Linked DNA regions of Oryctolagus cuniculus. The protein of the gene in region 5 purifies or fractionates together with the protein of the main gene of each other region. This does not show direct contact. Links are inferred from orthologs where the notes say so. Each region holds a gene or a part of one and is shown on either strand. Other genes may lie near its edges. The genes, in order: ASF1B, CBX1, ASF1A, SETDB1 and CHAF1A.

Region 1 (4,153 bases), about 3.2 Mb from region 5:
AAAGCAGTGGAGGATGGTCCAAGTCCTTGGGCCCCTGCACCCACATGGGAGACCAGGAAGAAGCTCCTGGCTCCTGGTTTCAGATCAGCACAGCTCCAGCCGTTGCAGCCATTTGGGGAGTGAAACAGCAGATGGAAGATCTCTCTCTGTCACTCTCCCTCTCTGTAACTCTATCTTTTGAGTAAATGCTGATGGAAGAACTCCCTTCTCTCTGCCTCTGTGCCTTTCAAGTAGAAGAAATCAACCATTAAAAAAAATATAAAAACGCATAAGGGCCAGTGCTGTGGCCTAGCAGGTTGAGGCACTGCCTGCACCACTGGCATCCCACAGGGGCACTGGTTTGAGTTCCAGCTGCTCCACTTCTGATCCGGCTCCCTGCTAATGTACCTGGGATAGCAGCAGCGGATGGCCAAGGGTTTGGGCCCTTGCACCCACGTGGGAGACCTGGATGGAGCTCCTGGCTTTGGCCTGGCTCAACCTTGGCCGTGTGGTCATCTGGGGAGTGAACCAGCAGATGGAAGATCTCTCTGTAGCTCTGCCTTTCAAATAAAATAAGTTCTTAAAAAAATACCTACCAAATACAGGACATAACTGTATACACACAGTCTATCTAACTTCTGAACACGATTAAAGGCACGTCAATTACATTTTGTTCTGATCCCCAATTTTACAGGCTGAACCCCGCACAGGATACACCTCTACTCCGTATGACAACAAATGCAAAGCCAATGCTATGATTAAACACACGTTAAGAAAGTGATGGCCGGTGCTGTGGCACAGTGGGTTAAAGCCCGGGTCTGCAGTGCCGGCATCCCATATGGGTGCAAGTTCGAGTCCCGGCTGTTCCACTTCCGATCCAGCTCTATGCTATGGCCTGGGAAAGCAGTGGAAGATGGCCCAAGTGCTTGGGCCCCGGCACCTGAGTGGGAGACCTGGATGGAGCTCCTGGCTCCTGGCTTTGGATCTGTGAAGCTCCAGCCGTTGCAGCCATCTGGGGAGTGAACCAATGGACAGAAGACCTATCTCTCTCTCTGTAACTCTACTTTTCAAATAAATAATGAAACAAATATTTAAACAAGAAATCATTGTCGTTGAAGAATCTGTTTCCCATTTGTATTTATCTGGGAGTGACAGAGGAGAGAGACAAAGGCAGGCGATGGGGGGGTGGGGGGCAGAAAGAGCAGGATCTTCTACCCGCTGGTCCACTCCCCAAATGCCAACAGCTGGAGGTGGGCCAGGCCACAGCCAGGCGCCTGGAACTCCCCGTGGGTCTCCCGCGTGGGCGGCAGGGGCGCACAACAGCGCGCAGCAGCAGGAAGCTGGGTCGGAAGCTGCGCGTCCAGGACTCCAGCCGAAGCGGCGCTGCGATCCGGTGACCAGGCGGTCCGGAGCCGCAGTCTTCGAGCCGTACTGCCCGTGGCCTTGGCCTCGCGGGGCGCCTGCTGTTTCAGCTCCCTGAGGGGCTCCCCCGCTCCCCGCAAGCACACGCACCCCTGATGTACTCCGTGCGGCCCCTGGGAGTCAGGGGGCCCCCGACTGGGGGCTGGGAGAGGAAGAAGGAACTCAGAGGCGCCCCACACCAGGGTTGCCCAGGCTCCTGTCCCCAGACATCACGGCCCCAGCGACGCCCCGCCCCCCGCCCGGGACGCGCAGGGGGTCAAGGCGGGGGCTTGGCTCCTGGGCCGCAGGGCCCGGGGCGTCGCAGGCACCCACTTCTCAGATAGCGCCTGCTTTTAAAGCAGGCCTACGGCACCCCACCCGCGTCACCTGGGAACTCAGACGAGGGGCCCCTCGCCTCTCCTGCCGGCCTTTAAAGCGAGTCTCAACCCCCGCCAGCTTACACTTTTATTTCCGCCCTGCGTGTCCCAGAGAGCCTCCAGCCGGCTTACTCCACAGTCAGCCACAGGCGGCGGCCGCCCCGCGGGCCACCCCCCTGCCACCCAGCGGCCTCCCCGGCTCCGCCCTGGAGCTGAGCGCTGGGTGCACGCAGGCCTTGGCCCCGGCTGACCCCGGCGTGCGCAGGGCCCGGGGCTCCGGGTGGCTGCTGTGCCCTCCCGTGCGCCACGACCACCACCCCGCCGCGGGCCCCGGGCGCGCCCACCGCCCACCGGACGGCGTCGGGATAGGGAAGCCGCGGGAAGCCGGTCCGGGGCGCGCCCACCGCCCACCCAGGCCCACGGTCGGACCGGGAAGCCTCGGGAGCCGGGACGCCCCTCCACCGCCACCCCGGGGGTCGCAATGACCCCCGGACGCGGTCATTTAAACACTGGGCAGGGCACGGCTGGGGCGGACACGGGGGCGAGGAGGGCGGCAGGGGTGGGGAAGAGGCAGGGGGCGTGGGGGTCTCCGCCGGTGGATGCGCCTCTATCATTAGGAAGCGGTGCCTGGGAGGAGCGCCATTGCAAGAGAGGGGGGTCCTGGGGTTTGGGAGGGGGCGATGGGGGAGCGGGGGGGGCTAAGCGGACGGAGGGAGGGGGCCCCGGGGGGCTTCGGCCTGGCCACGGGGCGGCTCTCCACGGGGAGGTCGGGGTCAGGGTCGGCCCAGGGCTGGGGTGGGGGTCTCCGCACGGGTCCAGCCTCACCGTCCGCCAGGGCCTCACTGCACTCGAAGCTGATCTCGAACCGGAAGGGGCTGTGGAAAGGGCTCGGGTTCTCCAGCACCGACACGTTCAGCACGGACACCTTGGCCATCGTGTCGCCGGGAGCCGGGGTCGGGGGAGCGGGCAGAGGGGCAGCGTCACCGGCGGCCGCTCCCGCCTCCTCTCGCCGCGGACTGCAACGCGCACCGCGTCCGCGCGCCGCCTTCAAATCGCCGGCTCCGCCCTCTAGCCAATCACCGCAAACGCTCCGCGGCGGCGCGAGCGCCCCGTCAGCCAATCCGCGAGCGCCGCTGGCGCGCGCCCGGACTCCTCAAACCAATCCGCGGAGCTCCCTCTCCGCACGCGCGCGAGGGAGGCGGGACCAGCTGTGGGCTTCTCGCGGGGTGGCCGCGGGGAACCAATCCCCAGCGTCTCCGACTCGGATGGCGGGGGCGGGGATGGGCGGAGTCAGAGCCCGGCTCTCGGCCAATCCTGAGGGTTCCCGCACAGGCGGGGCCCGCCCCTTCTCGCAGCTTTTCCGAGAGACGCATCCTTGAGGGAGCAGCACCGCCAACGGCCGAGCGGTGGCGCGCGGCGCTCGCTTAAGAGCGTGGGAAGGGCGGGTACTCGCGGCCGCCGTGATTGGCAGGCAGGAGTGGGGCGGGGATAAAGCAGGCTTTTGGAGACCTAATTGGCTGAGGTGGCTGTGGGGGCGGGAGCAGAGGAAGGCGTGTCTGAGGATTCGCGGGAGAGGAGCGGAAGTCGGGGGCCGGCGCGGTGGAGGAGGCGCGGCGGGGATGCCGGTGCGTGTGTGCAGGTGGGCGTTTCGGGCCGGGGGCTCCGGCTGCTGAGGCCGTGCGCGGCCTGGGGGGTCTGCGGTGAGCGGACGCGGAGTCCCGGCCTGGGGAGTGGCGGTTCGGGTCCCGCTCCCGCCCAGTCAGGGACCGGACGGCTGCGGGGCCAGGGCCTAGGCGATCGTATTTCCAAATGTGTTATGGTGCATCCGAATTCCACCCCGAGCAGAGTTCTTAGCACGATGTTTTCTAGGCGTTTAACTAAACATTTATTTATTCTCACCTTGGTGAATTTTTTTTTTTTTTTTTTTTTTTTGCGCCGTCCGTTCCCGACCCCGGGGAAGGCCGTACCGGGGACTCCGTCTCCGATGCTGGGAGGAAGAGGAGCTGGCTGCGTGATTGTCGCTGAACCCCAGATCCCAGCGCCAAGCCCCAGAGGCGTATCCTGCTTAGCGGGGAACCGAGATCTCTGCAGTGGGCCCCGAGGCCCCGTCTCGCGCCTGTCACCCTCCCCGCCCTGCCCCTGCCCACCCCCGGGCTCCCTCCTGCTGCAGGGCCTTGTGCTCCCTCTGGGGCCGGCGCTGTGGCGCAGTGGGTAAAGCCGCCACCTGAAACACTGGCATCCTATATGGGCGCCGGTTCGAGTCCCGGCTGCCCCACTTCCCATCCAGCTCCCTGCTGTGGCCTGGGAAAGCAGGAGAAGATGGCCCAGGTGCTTGGGCCCCTGCACCCGCGTGGGAGACCCAGAGGAAGCTCCCAGCTCCCAACTTCCAGGCGTTG
Region 2 (4,249 bases), on a different chromosome or scaffold from region 5:
AGAAAGGATTTCAAAGCCCTATTCATTCTTCTATCAACAATCTGAATGGCATACTATGTACCAGACACAGGATGAACAAGAGGTATAGCCCCATCTTATGGCAGACTACAAATATAGTCACTTGCCTTTAAAACAAAATCTGTTATATCATGACAGATACAGTGTGAAAAAAAGAAACTTGGCTGGAGAAACTACTAGAAGATAACAAAAAGTAACCAGCGCTCTTTTAAAAGCACTTATTTTTTAAAGATTTTTTTTAATTTACTTATTTGAGAGGTAGAATTACGGGGGGAGAAGGTCTTGCATACGCTGGTGCACTCCCCAAATGGCCACAACCACCGGAGCTGGGCCGATCTGAAGCCAGGAGCTTCCTCTGAGTCTCCCACATGCATGGGCCCAAGCACTTGAGCGATCTTCCACCACTTTCCCAGGCCATAAGCAGAACAGCTGGGACACGAACTGGCACCCATATGGGACGCTGGCACCGCAGGCAGAGGCTTAGCCTACTACACCACAGCGCTGCCGCTTTAAAGCACTTTAAAAAAACATTTTCCTAGTCCCTAAAATGGGGAAAGAAAAAACAACATTGCTTCCTTTAATTTCTGTATTTAAAAAAAAAAGTAGAAGGCTAGGGTACCCTTACTTGGTCGCCTCTAATAAAGAAGCAAGTAGGCTACACAATATTTACATTTTTAATGAAAGGCGATTTAAGACAGCAGTCATAGAAGAAAAATATCGCCACAGGGAAAACTGGAAATGACTGAAGATCCTCCAATTGCCCAGAAGCTCCATTAAGGTGTACCAGCTCCAACACCGGTGCTTTTCAATCATACTTTCATGTAAACGCCTGTGAGGTATCTAGGGAGGAACACAGGTACTAGGCACTAATTTCCTCTGTGTTCTTGAAATCAATTCCAAAAACTGTGGACCTTTCAGAACTATTTCAAACTGTTGACATTAATTCTTGACACAACAGAGGAGATAGCTTACCTCTTGCCACAGGTTCTAGTATAACTTATCTTTTAAAAAATACTCCATCTTGGGGCCCAGCGTTGTGGTGTAGAGGGTAAAGCTGAGGCCTGCAGCGATGGCTTCCCATCCAGGCACCGGTTCGGTTCGAGTCCCGGCTGCTCCACTTCCGATCCAGCTCTCTGCTATGGCCTGGGAAAGCAGCATTAGATGGTCCAAGCCCTTGGCCCCTGCACATACGTGGGAGACCCGGAAGAAGCTCCTGGCTCTGGACCTGCGCAGCTCGGCCCGTTGCGGCCATTCAGGGAGTGAACCAACGGATGGAAGACCTCTGTCTCCCTCTCTCTGGCTCTACCTACTTGTAATTCTGCATTTCAATAAATAAATCTTTTTTAAAAATTATAAGAAAAATTCCACTTGGATGGAAGATCTCTTTTTCTCTGTCTCTTCCTTTTCACTCTGTATCTCTTTCAAAATAAATAAATCTTAAAAAAACAAAAATTCCACCTCAACTGGGTTAAGCCAATACATGCCTAAACAGAACAACAATCCACGAAGCCCTCACATGTGGCTTTGGAAAAGGGGTAAAGTACTGCTCACTTTGTATTCAGAATTTCCAACAAAGAAAGGCTGGCTAAAAACACACGACCCGACCCTAAGGGGGAAAAAATGTCCTCCCACAATGATTCTCCCACCCCATCTCACAAGTTCTCTCCCGACCTCACTCCATTCCTTACTGTTAACATCTCCACGCATTCCTGCCATTCTCCCGCTCTGTGAGACCAGCACCAATCCCAAACACAAACTCGGGGAAGTAGCAGAGACGCTGGGACGGCGAAGCAGGCCAAGTGCTGCATGCTTTCCGCACCCGTTACTCTCACGGGCCCGCACTGCAACGCCCCAGCAGGAGACAAGGGCGGCCAGTTTGCCCCTTTTCTCTTCCACACTTTCCAGAAATATTCGCAGGACGTCGCCCTGCTTACCCCAACAGCTCCCCCCGCCCCGCTTCCCGGCAAGCACCCGTCTTTCCCAATTCTGGGATCTCTCTCCCAATGGATTCCACGAATCTTCCTCCATTAGCACACCCTGGGCTGCCCGGTCCCCTGGTCCCATGTACGCCAAGTTACTTCGCCGTAGCTCCGCAAGCCAAATTCCTCCGGCAGCCGTCGCCCAGCCCAATATCCTCAGGTTACATTTGCAAACCCCGAGGTCCCGCAGGCGTCCCCTCCTCCCCGCCCGACGCTTAATCCAAACACCAACCACGACCTCTCCTCAGTCGCCCAAAGTTTTCCCTTCTCCAGTCCAAACCCGCAGACGCATTGTCTCAACCCACCCAGGCCCGGAAAAGCGCCCCTCAAGCGCTCGGCCCACCGCGAACCTCTCCAGTCTCTCGCTCGGGATTCACTGCCCCGCCCTCTCCATCTTTCACGCAGCGGGCGTTCGGCCTCTCCGCGCCAAACACAGCGTTCCGCGCGGGAACACACGAACAGGGCGCCGGACCGGAGCGCGCTCCCCGCTCCCAACCGCCACGACAACGCGGCCCCTGACCCGGGCTCCCGCCGCCGCCGCCGCCGCCGCCGCCGCCGCCGCGCCCCCTCCCCCCGCCTCTAGCGGGCTTTTTACCTCAAAGCAGCGCCCAAGAGCTCGAGAAGAATCGGAGTCGCGCTACTGGCGCGTCGCGTCGGGCCGGCCGGGGGGGAGTGGCGCCCAGAAAGCAACAAGCCGGGTGGCTGCAGTCAAGCCCCTCGCTGAAGCGGCGTACCGCAGGCCCCGGCCAACGGCCCTCCCCTCAGCCGAACAAAAGAGCCTCGCACTCTGCGCTGCCCGCCGTCTGCACCGCGCAGGCGCGACGACCCGCCGTAAGGCACCATGGGACTCGGTGCCCGTCCAAGACTACAAGTCCCGAAGGGCTGTGCGAGTCCCGCTCCGCGCGCCCGGCTTGCGTGGCTGTGCGGGAATTTTAGTTTTTAAACTGCAAAGGCAGAGAGACCCCATTTTAGAACGCTGCAGGCAGCAAATCCTTAGTGCTAGGTCTCAAAAATCAGCCACTTATGCACAGTTCTACGAGTCACAGCCTCGAAATTTCTGAATCTTAAATCCATTGCCAGTTTTTTCAGATCTCTCTCAAATTTTTCAACCTGTGTAATCTCCGATCTCTGCCTCCTCAAATCTGTGCAGCTCAATGATTACTTCCCATTCGTCGTGACTTCCTGAATTCCTCCCCTTAATTGGTTGAGCCAACATACAGGGTTTTTTTTTTTTTTTTCTATTTTTTAAATTTTTTTGACAGGCAGAGTGGACAATGAGAGAGAGAGAGAGAGAAAGGTCTTCCTTTGCCGTTGGTTCACCCTCCAGTGGCCGCCGCGGCCGGCGCACCACGCTGAACTGATGGCAGTAGCCAGGTACTTCTCCTGGTCTCCCATGGGGTGCAGGGCCCAAGCACTTGGGCCATCCTCCACTGCACTCCCTGGCCACAGCAGAGAGCCGGCCTGGAAGAGGGGCAACCGGGACAGAATCCGGCGCCCCAACCGGGACTAGAACCCGGTGTGCCGGCACCGCAAGGAGGAGGATTAGCCTAGTGAGCCACGGCGCCGGCCCCAACATACAGTTTTAATACTGACCTTTTTATTAAAATATAATTTATTTGAAAGGCAGAGTAAGCCGGCACCGCGGCTAACTTGGCAAATCCTCTGCCTGCGGCGCCGGCACTCCTGGTTCTAGTCCCGGTTGGGGCGCCGGATTCTGTCCCAGTTGCTCCTCTTCCAGTCCAGCTCTCTGCTGTGGCCAGGGAAGGCAGTGGAGGATGGCCCAGGTGCTTGGACCCTGCACCCCATGGGAGACCAGGAGGAAGCACCTGGCTCCTGGTTTCCCGTAGTGGCCATTTGGGCAGTGAACCAACCGAAAGGAAGACTTTTCTCTCTGTCTCTCTAACCCTGCCTGTCAAAAAAAAAAAAAAAAAAAAAAGGCAGAGTAAAGGAGAGAGGGAGACAACAGAGATCCCCATCTGAGGGCGAAGTCGTGGTTTAGTAAATTAAGCTGCAGCCTTCGATGGAAGCCTTTATCCCATGTGGGCTCTGGTTGGAGTCCAGGCTGCCCCACTTACAACCCAGCTTCCCGCTAATGTGCCTGCCTGGGAAAGTCGCAGAAGATGGCCCCGGAAGAAACTCCCGGCTCCTGGCTGCTCAGGCTGACCCAGCCCTGGGTTGGGGTCATCTGGGGAGTGAACCAGCAGATGGAAGATTTCCCTCTCTCTCTGCAACTGCATAACAAATCTTCAAAG
Region 3 (2,485 bases), on a different chromosome or scaffold from region 5:
TCCTTGGTAGCATATAATTCATTTCAATCCCCCTTTTAAAGTCATGCCAAAAAGGAATGGAAAGTTTCCCCTTAAATTAAAACCACACTTTATGTTTTAACAGGAAGAAACATCTTAGTTGAAGTGAACTTTCTTTTTTCAAAGGCCAGAAAAAATAATGTTCCAAAGATTACTGTCCGAGAGGCTAAGACATCTTCACAACCTGGTCTAAGGATTTATATTTTTCTTTATAAGTGCTTTAATTACATATAAAGGAGAAGAAAAATAATATATATGCTTTAATCAAATTAGTTTCAGAACAAATAAAATAACACATTAGAGAAAAAATTACTTAAAAATAGTTGTATTTATATTCCACAATTTGCTCAAATACTGGTTTTCTTATAAACTTTCTACAGGATGTTTTTAAACAAATTCTTCACATTTTGTCTTGACTATGTACTTACGGAATTTCAGGGAAATAGTTCTGTGTATTTTTAATAGCTTAATTTGTACTAAAGGGATGGCAGGTGGTCACATGCAGTCCATGTGGGATTCTAACATGACATTTAGTGAGTTTTCTGACGTGGACCATCCCTTTGAGGCAGAAGGTAATGCATCTGTTGACAGAAGTGACTGTAGATTTGGATTACTGCTCTCTGCATCTTCCAGTTTTTCTGTGTTGTCTTCCCAATTAATGTGGAATCTTGTGACCCTGGGATTAGATGCCAAAATGTTCCTTTGAAGCTAGAAGAAGGAAATATATAAATGGTAAACATTACCAAAGTTTAATCACCCTATGCAAATAGATACTTAAAGAAATGGGTCCTTTATGTTAGCACTCCTGAAGGGTTACGTTCATATACAGAAGTATAGGACAAATAAAGCACTTTAGCATAACTAATAAACAAGGACTAGGACCATAGCAATTATTTTGGCTTAATAGGAACAAGATATGGAGAATCTGAGGGAATTCATTCAGATCTTTTACTATACTATGAAATATCTATTCTTCTACTCTTGTACTTCTATTTCCTAAGAAGGGAAAGAAAATTTCTCCCAAATACATCTTCTTGCTATTAGTGATTTCCTACCTTTTAAATATTATGGTTCATTTTTGGAAACAATAGTCTAGTTTCTTCTCTTTTCTGTTGTACAAGTTACCAAACAGATAACCAATAAATTTGATCTATGAAAGGATTGGCCAGGATGAAAAACATTCTAGCCTTATTACCAGAAAGTTGAACTTTATTCTACTGCCATGTGACTTTCCTTGTATTGCCTGGCAGACAGAGGGCCCTATTCAACTTCACTTGATTTGCACCCTCTCAAAATCACCAGTTAGTAAACTGTTACAGTTCCCAATGAAAAACCATAAAGGTACTAAGTATCCTTGAGAATAATGAATCACAGATTTCAGCTTCTCAGTGTTTAAGCTATTTGCTATCACCTGAAATATTTAAGACCTTTACTTTATCTGCTGTTCCTACAGAATAAAACTAAAGCATATAGGTACTTTGATATAAGCATAGATAACTGTTTATATGAAAAGCAGACACAAACACAGACTTCCATGTCATAAAAGCTGAAGTGAACATGATCTATGGGAAATGCCATATAAGAAGCAGTAAACAAGTGCCCATTTCTTATCAGAGATACTTAATGACTTGCATAGAGAAAGGGTTTGAGGTCACCCATGGTAAGGGAACAATGATTAGTTTGCCCAGCTGGCCCAAAGACATCAAATTTACTTTGTCTCAAACTGCCTAAAAAATTGTATAGTAACAGTAATTAAAAAGGAATAGTAAGACATTACCTTAGAAAAGTCTGGTTTTACTGGCGGATTTTCCCTTAATTCTGTCTCAGTATATTCATTATTTACATAGTAGCCAACTCTAATAAATTCTTGACCTCGATAGGTACAAGTAATTAGCACAACTGTTACGCCTACTGCATCAGCATCTGGAATGAGTCCTGGATTAGGTGCATCTGCCTGGAATAATTTAAAAGAAACATACACAAAAGGCTGTTAATGGCAGGCGAGATTGGAGTTGTAGTTACCCTGAGCACTTTCAGTTGAACATGGAACAAGAAAAACTTGGAAATCACATTGGGAAGACAAATGCTTACATTTGGGATTGGCCTAAAGGTAGATATATAGCTCATGTTTCTCCACAGTATCCTCAAGTAGCTTCATTAAACTTCCAGAGGGAAATAATTCTGGTTACTGTGTGTGTTGGTTCATGAGGAATTATGCAAATTCATTATAACTTTTTATAAAATACTTAAACAATTTAATCAATAGTGCTATTGGTTTTAACTTTTTCCAGTTATAATTTTCAGACCTAAATTAGTAAATACTAAATTATTTCCACACAACCAGTTGGCAACAAATGTTTTTTATACCAGTTTTCCTTTTCTCCCCAGGACACTTATATTCTCGTACCTATACAACCACCTCTCACAAATATTCTAATAGTAATTTAGTATAAAACTGAACACAAAT
Region 4 (3,513 bases), on a different chromosome or scaffold from region 5:
CCTCTGATCCCCAACCAAGTAAATCCTAAAAGAATTTGGTTCTTTAAACTTTTTTTTTTTTTTTTTTTTTTTTTTTTGGACAGGCAGAGTTAGACAGTGAGAGAGAGAGAGACAGAGAAAGGTCTTCCTTTTCCTTTGGTTCACCCCCCAAATGGCTGCCACGGCTGGTGTGCTGCACCGACCGGAAGCCAGGAGTCAGGTGCTTCCTCCTGGTCTCCCACACGGGTGCAGGGCCCAAGCACCTGGTTCATCCTCCACTGCACTCCCGGGCCACAGCAGAGAGCTGGACTGGAAGGAGCAACCGGGACCAGAACCCGGAGTGCTGGCACCGCCGGCCTCTTTAAACACATTCTAGAAATGTGCTGAGTAAAGGGGGAAATAGGTTTCCAAAGAAATACCCGTCAAGTAAGTTAGGTTACTAACATCAACACTAACAGCTACTGCTTACCTCCTTCTTGGTCTGCTTGACGTCCCCCTCGTCCTTGATGCCCAGTGCCGAGGCGGTGGCTTTCTCAGCTTCCCCTCGGCCTCCCCCAGCGCTACCTTCACCAGTCTTGAAGGAGGAGCGGCTATCAGAGTCAAAAGCACCGTCACTGATACTATTGCAGCTCAGCCACGAGGCCACCTTGTTCTTGGGTGTCTCCTCGGAGGAAGGTGGGTTGCAGACACCTACAGGGACTGAGGGAGGGACAGGCATATGTGGTGGCCCAAGGTCTGGGGGACGGGAGTCTTTGGCAGCCATCTCAGACAGTCCATTTTCCTTCTGGCCTCGGGTCTGCCTCCGGGTAGCATAGCTGCGCCACACTGAGCTGGTGCTGAAGTCCTCATCCTTACAGAAGTTGTCATCTGAGCTATCATCATTGGACTCCTCAGCATCCTCTGTACCACTGTTACCATCTTCCTGGTCCTTTAAGTCTACACCACTGCTGTCAGAGGAACAGGGGGCATCACTCTCATATCCTTCCTTGAAGTTCTCCACGCTCTCGATATGGTCCAGATTTGCAAAGTATTCATCACCCATTTCCAAGCCTTCCTTGTCTGCAAAGTCATCTGTCAGGATCTTGCCTGAGGAAGAGAATTAAAGGCTTTCTAGGGTTATGGGGCCCTTTTGGAAAGATTAAGTGTCCATCCACCCACACCCAGTGCTCCAGCACAGAGGTAAAATGCCTACATTTTGGTCTCTTGTGTCTCTCTTCGATGATACCTCCTTTACTGTAGCTTTAATCTTGTCCTCTCTGTCCTCCCATTTCCTCCTCTTCTTTTTTTTATTTTTATTTTTTGACAGGCAGAGTGGACAGTGAGAGAGAGACAGAGAGAAAGGTCTTCCTTTGCCGTTGGTTCACCCTCCAATGGCCGCCGCGGCTGGCATGCTGCGGCCGGCGCACCGCGCTGATCCGATGGCAGGAGCCAGGAGCTTCTCCTGGTCTCCCATGGGGTGCAGGGCCCAAGCACCTGGGCCATCCTCCACTGCACTCCCTGGCCACAGCAGAAAGCTGGCCTGGAAGAGGGGCAACCGGGACAGAATCCGGCGCCCCGACCGGGACTAGAACCCGGTGTGCCAGCGCTGCTAGGCGGAGGATTAGCCTAGTGAGCCGCGGCGCCGGCCCATTTCCTCCTCTTTAACAACAGTTCTCAGCCATGCTAAAAAAAAAAATCTTTGGGTGGAGAAACGTGGGAGGACAATACATTGGACTCTGCAATCATGTCTCTCCCCTGGAACATCATCACGTCTAAAACATTACCCCTTTTTTATTTCTGTCTTTCCAAAGCCCTGTGTCCCTCTCTGTGAACCTCCACAGGTTCTCTACAGAAGCGAGCCCTGGCTCCTCTCTCTCTCAGTTCACATGTCCAGCACATTATTCGTAAGCTCAACTTGCATCTGGTTCATTTCCCCACCACATCCCAGACCCAGGAAACAACCTTTATATCCATCACCAACCTGCATAAATACAAACAAAAGAGCCTTTGGCAATGTCATCCAAGCAGCGGATACCCCAGCCCTTGTTCTGTGTCTTGAATAGCTGTAGGCGAACCTGTAGTCCATGCTGCACCAACCGGTTTGTGCACATGTTTGGGTCACATTTGCAGCGTTTGTTACACTCATATACCCTGGGAGATTAGAAAGATCAACCATGAGATGAGCAATAGAAACGCACAAAACAGTTATAATTCTTAAGCTATCATTACTTACAATGTGTCCTGGGTAAAGATTAAAAATTAGGTAATGATCTGAGTGGATTTACTGAACTGTCTATGCTGTTTCATTTATTTGGGAATATAGCTCACAGAAATAACTTAGAAGGGAATTAACGATGTTTATAGCAGTGTTCTAATAGTGAATGCCAGAATTCCTAACACCTGGAAAGAGGCTAAGAAAACCATGACGTGAATACAGATTACAGAGCCACTAAAATAAGTATATAGAGTCCGTCAATTTTCAGAAAAAAGATGCATAAAGATACGTAAGAAAAGCAGAGGCTGATATACTGATTTTATATATATATATATATATCAATATATATATATTATACACACACACATATAATGTCTAAAGAGAAAAGAGAAGGTGGTATGGATGTTTATGGGGACTTTTCTTTGGTAAAGTTGGTTTTCATCATATCATTCAGTAAACACTTATTAAATAATAATAGTTGTGCTAGACACTGGGAATAATCAAAGAGGTCATAATCTCTACCTTAAAGGAATTAATCAGTTGAAGAATTTAACAACTTAATTACTTTTAAAACAAACTATTAAAGTTAATCAGAGGGATCTAGCAAATATGAACATTAAAGGAAGAAAACAGCTATGCTGATAAGACTGGAAATGTTACGGGTACCAATGCTTCTGCTTGATTTGCTTTGCTCACTGTTAGGATTATACTTCTTGGTATAAATTGCAGGGAGACATTTACTTTTGGGAAGAGGATAATAAAACAATTTCTTGGCTAATGACATTAGTCACATCCTTCTGGATAAAGACAGTAAGAGCAGTTCTACTTACTGAACATACACTTTGTTTTGTTGCTATGTAAATTGCATAATTTACACTCTCTTATTCTATCTATCTTCAAAGCAGTGCTATAATGGTATTTTTTAAAAGTTTTTAAAGAAGATTTTCAAAGTATAATATACATAAGAAAAATATACAGAAAAGTTCATAGTCAATGGATTTTCAGACTAAACATACTGTGTTAACCAGCACCAGATAAAGAAAGAGTCTGTTAGGTCATTTAAAACCCTTTGGGGATAGAGTGTGGGTGTCAGTATTAATATCTCCTATTTATAGCTGATAACAGGATTAGCTCCAAAGTGGAAGACCAGAACCTGAACTCAGGTCTAATTACTTTTTTTTTTTTTTTTTTTTTTTGACAGGCAGAGTGGACAGTGAGAGAGTGACAGAGAGAAAGGTCTTCCTTTACCGTTGGGTCACCCTCCAATGGCCACTGCGGCTGGCGCACCGTGCTGATCTGAAGGCAGGAGCCAGGTGTTTCTCCTGGTCTCCCATGTGGGT
Region 5 (4,002 bases):
CCAAGCACCTGGGCCATCCTCCACTGCACTCCCGGGCCACAGCAGAGAGCTGGCCTGGAAGAGGGGCAACCGGGACAGAATCCGGCGCCCCGACCAGGACTAGAACCCGGTGTGCCGGCGCCGCAGACGGAGGATTAGCCTAGTGAGCTGCGGCGCCGGCCTAGACTGGCTTTTAAAACAAGGAGGCCGGCGTCCGCAGCTCGCTCGTAGTCCTCCCGCTGTCACTCTCAACCCCACTGCCACCAACACCTGTCACTGTCACAGGAGGTCGGAAACCTGGTAACAGCCAAGTCTTAAACCCAACAGCCAGCGGCTGTGTTTGCGGCACCGGCCACCCCTGGGAGCGCTGGCCCGAGTCCCGGCTGCTCCCGCCAAGCACCCCGGAGAGCAGCAGCCGAGGGGCTGAGCGCTGGGCCCTGCACCCACGTGGGAGACCCGGATGCAGCTCCCGGCACAGCCTGGCCCGGCCCCAGCCTTTGCCCGTTTGAGGAGTGAACCAGCGGATGGAAGACCTCTCTCTCCTCCTCTCTGTAACTGGGCCTTTCAAGTAATTAAACCTAACTTAAAAACAACAAAACAAAAACAAAGCCACACCCGGGACCCCCCGTTTGTGCACACAACCCAGCCGCGCCCCCTGGCCTGCAGGTGGACGCGCTTCCGGCCTTGCCCCGGACACGAGTGGGGACGTCTCTCCCTACACCACAGCGGCTCTCGGCCGGGGCGGTCCTGAGACCCAGGGGACGCCTGGTTGTCCTGGCATTGGAGACGTGTCTACGCCCGTCACCCGCTCCCAACCGCCCGAGGACGGGAGACCCCACTGTCCACGCACCCGACCTGGGGAGCTCAACCCCGAAAGGCTCCCAACTCCCACACAGGCTCGGAGCGCGGACGCACAGCCGCGAGGGGAGAGGCGCAGAGGCCGCTCCCTGCCACGGGCGACGAGGTGGGCGTGCGGTGTGCACGGAGCACGGACGGCCTCCCTCGCGGCCGGCCAGGGAACCCCCACTGTATCTGCAAAGACGCAACTGTTTACCCCCCCCAGACCCCCAGGAGCCGGCGAAGCCCCGCCCCCGCCCCAGCCCAGCCCGGAGAGTTACCTTGTATTAACTTCTTAACCGGGAAGGCGGCTCTGCCTTTGCAATCCATGGCTGCGAAGAAGAAGAAAAATGTGTCAGAGGAAGAGCCGTTAGCTACAGCCAGGGGACACCGGCCACACCCAGAGACAGCCCACCACAGCCCGAGCTGGCCAGGCCCGAGCCGGGACAGGGAGCTCCCCGTGCGGGGCGGCTGGGGGACAGCGGGGCCCTCCTCCTCGCTGTGGCTGCAGCCACTGGCCGTGCGTGAGCACAGCACCAGGAACACGACCCCGCCGCCCCTGCCGCCCCCGCCGTGCCCGGCTGGCCGCTGGTCTGTCCAGCCGCGACCTCGGGATCGGATGCCACGCAGCCCGGGGTACCAGCCGGAGAGCAGCTCCGCCGCCTGCCAAGGGAGCCGGCACGCAGGGATCGCCCGCAGAATTCTGGGAGAGCTGCCCGGAGCGGGTCAGGCCAGGGCCCCCCAAAAGCCGCCTGTGGCCACTGCCCGGGCTTGGGGAGTGACAGGGGCAGGGCACAGTCGCCGGCCAGTGCCAGGCTGAGCCCCCCGCTCCCCGCCGCCCACACGGGGAACCCGGGCTGCACTCCTGGCCCCAGGCTCCGGCCACCGTGGGCACTTGGGGACCGGACAGGGCGGCCTGCGAACCCCTTCCTTTTCCAGCCGTGCACAGCACCCGGGCTTGGCCACCGCGCCCAGCCAGCCCGTCCTCCCTCCTTCAGCCGCGGGCCTGGAACATCCGAGGCCTGCTAGCCTCAATGCAAGGGCCCCCAAGCAGGGAGGGGGCTGGGAGGTCGCCCCGCCGCACAGCCGCGGGGGACACGTCGCAGGGGTGGGGTGGGGGGCAGGGATGCTGCTCCACCTCCCCACGGGCTCAGACACCTCGGGTCAGACAAGGCTGCTGCGGCCACCCGAGCAGGTCCTGGGCACCTGCTGAGCCCCGAGCGCAGGCGTCCGGTGGGGAGACACACGGCTCTCGACCACCCCCTGACGGTTTTTGGGGGACCCCAGGCAGGCCAGAAAGACTCCTATTGTCACCGGCAGGGGCAGAAACCCGGGGGCCCAGCCCCCTAACGATCGCCACCATCCAGGCCTCGGACCTGGGCTTGCCCCCCCCCCGGCGCCCCGCACTGGCCCGGGCGGCCTCCTGCCTCAGTTTCCCCACCCGCTGCAGGCGCCGAGCTGCCCAGCGGGCGCCAAGGCCCGCGGGAACCTGCAAAGCCGGCTCTGGGGGCCTCCGTGGGCCTCGGACGCCCGTCCTGGCCGCCCCCGAGGGCCCCGCACGGACAGACCGACCCCAAAGCGCCCCCCGGGGGGGGGGGAATGAACGCGGTCGCGGCCGCGACAAGAACGTCGGCGCCGCAAGGCCGTTGCCCGCGATCCCGAGGCTCCAGGGCCGCCGAGGCAGGCCGGCCGTCGGGAGGCCCGTCGCCAACCGCCGTCCCGGCCAGCGCGGGCCGCGCGCGCCGCGCCCCCCCGCCGCCGCCGCCGCCGCGCGGGCCCGCACCGACCTCCGGCCGCGGCCCTGGCGCCCGGCGCCCCGCACTCCGGCTCCTCCAGCATCGCCGCCGCGGCGGCTCGGGCTCCCCTCAGGCGGCGGAGGCGCGGGCTCCGCTCCGGCGGCCGCTGCTTCTCGCCCTCCCGCCCGCGCCGCTGCTGCCGCGGCCGCTGCGCTCGTATTTGGCGGGAACCGCGGCGACCCCCGCAGCCCTCACGCCGATTGGCCGAGACGGCGTCACGTGACTGCCCGCCTCGGGAAGCGAGGACCGCCGCGAGCATCCTCGCGAGAGCCGCGGCTTCCAGTCCTCCCACAGGTTCCCCCATTGATCGCGGGGCCGGGGGGAGGGGCTGTCCAGCGGCGGCCTGCGATTGGCTGCGACGGGACGCGCTGCGATTGGGGGCGAGAGACGTCAAGCGGCGAGCCCGGCGTTGCGATTGGCGGAGCGCGTGGGATAGGTCTGCGGGAGGGCGGGCCAGCCTCTAACGTCACGGGAACGTGTGACGTAGGGCGCCGGTGACAACTTGCAAACCGGAGTTTGGCGAGAATTCTGAAGTGTGGCGTTTTCCTCACTCGGGGCTGGGCTGAGCCTAGCAACAGCCGTGGGCCGTATGAGTTATCAGGGGTCCCGGGGTCCCTGCGCTGCGCCGGCCCCAGCGCCCCGGCCCCGTGTCCACGCCCGGCCCTGTCCGCTCGGCTCCCGCGGGGCCGTGCCCGCTGCGGCCGCTGCGTGAGAACGTGCATTTGCAGACCCTCGAGCCCCCGGGCCCCGTCCGATGGCGGATGCCTAAACGCTGGATAAAGTACATCTGCGAACCAGAAATATCGACGCTGGGCGGGCCGGGCAGGTGCAGAGCCGGACACACCCGCGGCGGAGTCTGGACAGAGGCACCGACTTGCTTTCTTCCTTTTAAAGAGATTTATTTATGTATTGAAAGGGAGAGAGAGATTGAGAGAGAGAGGTCTTCCTTCCGCTGGGTCACTCCCCAGATGGCCACCATGGCCAGAGCCGGCCCGATCCAAAGCCAGGAGCCAGGAGCTCCATCCGGGTCTCCCACGCAGGTGCAGGGCTCCCAGCACTCGGGCCATCGTCCACTGCTCTCCCAGGCCACAGTAGAGAGCTGGACCGGAAGTGGAGCAGCCGGGACTCGAACCGGCGTGCATATGCGATGTGGCCCTGCAGGTGGCGGCTTTACCCGCTGGGCCCCAGCGCGATGCTAGGGTTTACTTTTTTAAATGAGGGATTTGAAAGGCCGGGGGTGGGGGGCGGGAGACCTTCCACCCTCCCCAGAGGCCCACAGTGGCCCGAGGCTGGGCCGGCCCGAGCTCGGAGTCCGGAACGCCCACGTGGGTTGCGGGGCTCTCGGACGCGGGCCCTCCCAGCGCACTGGTCGGGGGTCGGCCTGGCTGTG

Evidence for each region.
Region 1: the proteins of CHAF1A (region 5) and ASF1B purify together in Homo sapiens (co-immunoprecipitation; 7 studies listed by BioGRID and IntAct, counting the BioPlex papers as one, with this or other methods). This does not show direct contact. The link is inferred for Oryctolagus cuniculus from reciprocal best matches to the Homo sapiens genes CHAF1A and ASF1B.
Region 2: the proteins of CHAF1A (region 5) and CBX1 purify together in Homo sapiens (affinity purification with mass spectrometry; 4 studies listed by BioGRID and IntAct, with this or other methods). This does not show direct contact. The link is inferred for Oryctolagus cuniculus from reciprocal best matches to the Homo sapiens genes CHAF1A and CBX1.
Region 3: the proteins of CHAF1A (region 5) and ASF1A purify together in Homo sapiens (affinity purification with western blotting; 3 studies listed by BioGRID and IntAct, with this or other methods). This does not show direct contact. The link is inferred for Oryctolagus cuniculus from reciprocal best matches to the Homo sapiens genes CHAF1A and ASF1A.
Region 4: the proteins of CHAF1A (region 5) and SETDB1 purify together in Homo sapiens (affinity purification with western blotting; 3 studies listed by BioGRID and IntAct, with this or other methods). This does not show direct contact. The link is inferred for Oryctolagus cuniculus from reciprocal best matches to the Homo sapiens genes CHAF1A and SETDB1.

Annotation. Positions count from the first base shown.
Region 1 is NC_091447.1:62,994,156-62,998,308, forward strand, and holds the start of ASF1B (histone chaperone ASF1B), read right to left. Parts: upstream 2,805-4,153; 5' UTR 2,692-2,804; coding exon 2,583-2,691; intron 1-2,582. UniProt on the Homo sapiens protein: Histone chaperone that facilitates histone deposition and histone exchange and removal during nucleosome assembly and disassembly. Cooperates with chromatin assembly factor 1 (CAF-1) to promote replication-dependent chromatin assembly.
Region 2 is NC_091448.1:24,381,023-24,385,271, forward strand, and holds the start of CBX1 (chromobox protein homolog 1), read right to left. Parts: upstream 2,805-4,249; 5' UTR 2,593-2,804; intron 2,550-2,592; exon of another isoform or gene 2,303-2,549; intron 1,162-2,302; 5' UTR 991-1,161; intron 1-990. UniProt on the Homo sapiens protein: Component of heterochromatin. Recognizes and binds histone H3 tails methylated at 'Lys-9', leading to epigenetic repression. Interaction with lamin B receptor (LBR) can contribute to the association of the heterochromatin with the inner nuclear membrane.
Region 3 is NC_091436.1:51,459,739-51,462,223, forward strand, and holds the end of ASF1A (histone chaperone ASF1A), read right to left. Parts: intron 1,973-2,485; coding exon 1,796-1,972; intron 727-1,795; coding exon 514-726; downstream 1-513. UniProt on the Homo sapiens protein: Histone chaperone that facilitates histone deposition and histone exchange and removal during nucleosome assembly and disassembly.
Region 4 is NC_091438.1:47,127,625-47,131,137, forward strand, and holds part of SETDB1 (histone-lysine N-methyltransferase SETDB1), read right to left. Parts: intron 2,110-3,513; coding exon 1,940-2,109; intron 1,066-1,939; coding exon 449-1,065; intron 1-448. UniProt on the Homo sapiens protein: Histone methyltransferase that specifically trimethylates 'Lys-9' of histone H3. H3 'Lys-9' trimethylation represents a specific tag for epigenetic transcriptional repression by recruiting HP1 (CBX1, CBX3 and/or CBX5) proteins to methylated histones.
Region 5 is NC_091447.1:59,780,501-59,784,502, reverse strand, and holds the start of CHAF1A (chromatin assembly factor 1 subunit A), read right to left. Parts: upstream 2,813-4,002; 5' UTR 2,656-2,812; coding exon 2,604-2,655; intron 2,558-2,603; exon of another isoform or gene 2,258-2,557; intron 1,149-2,257; coding exon 1,098-1,148; intron 1-1,097. UniProt on the Homo sapiens protein: Acts as a component of the histone chaperone complex chromatin assembly factor 1 (CAF-1), which assembles histone octamers onto DNA during replication and repair.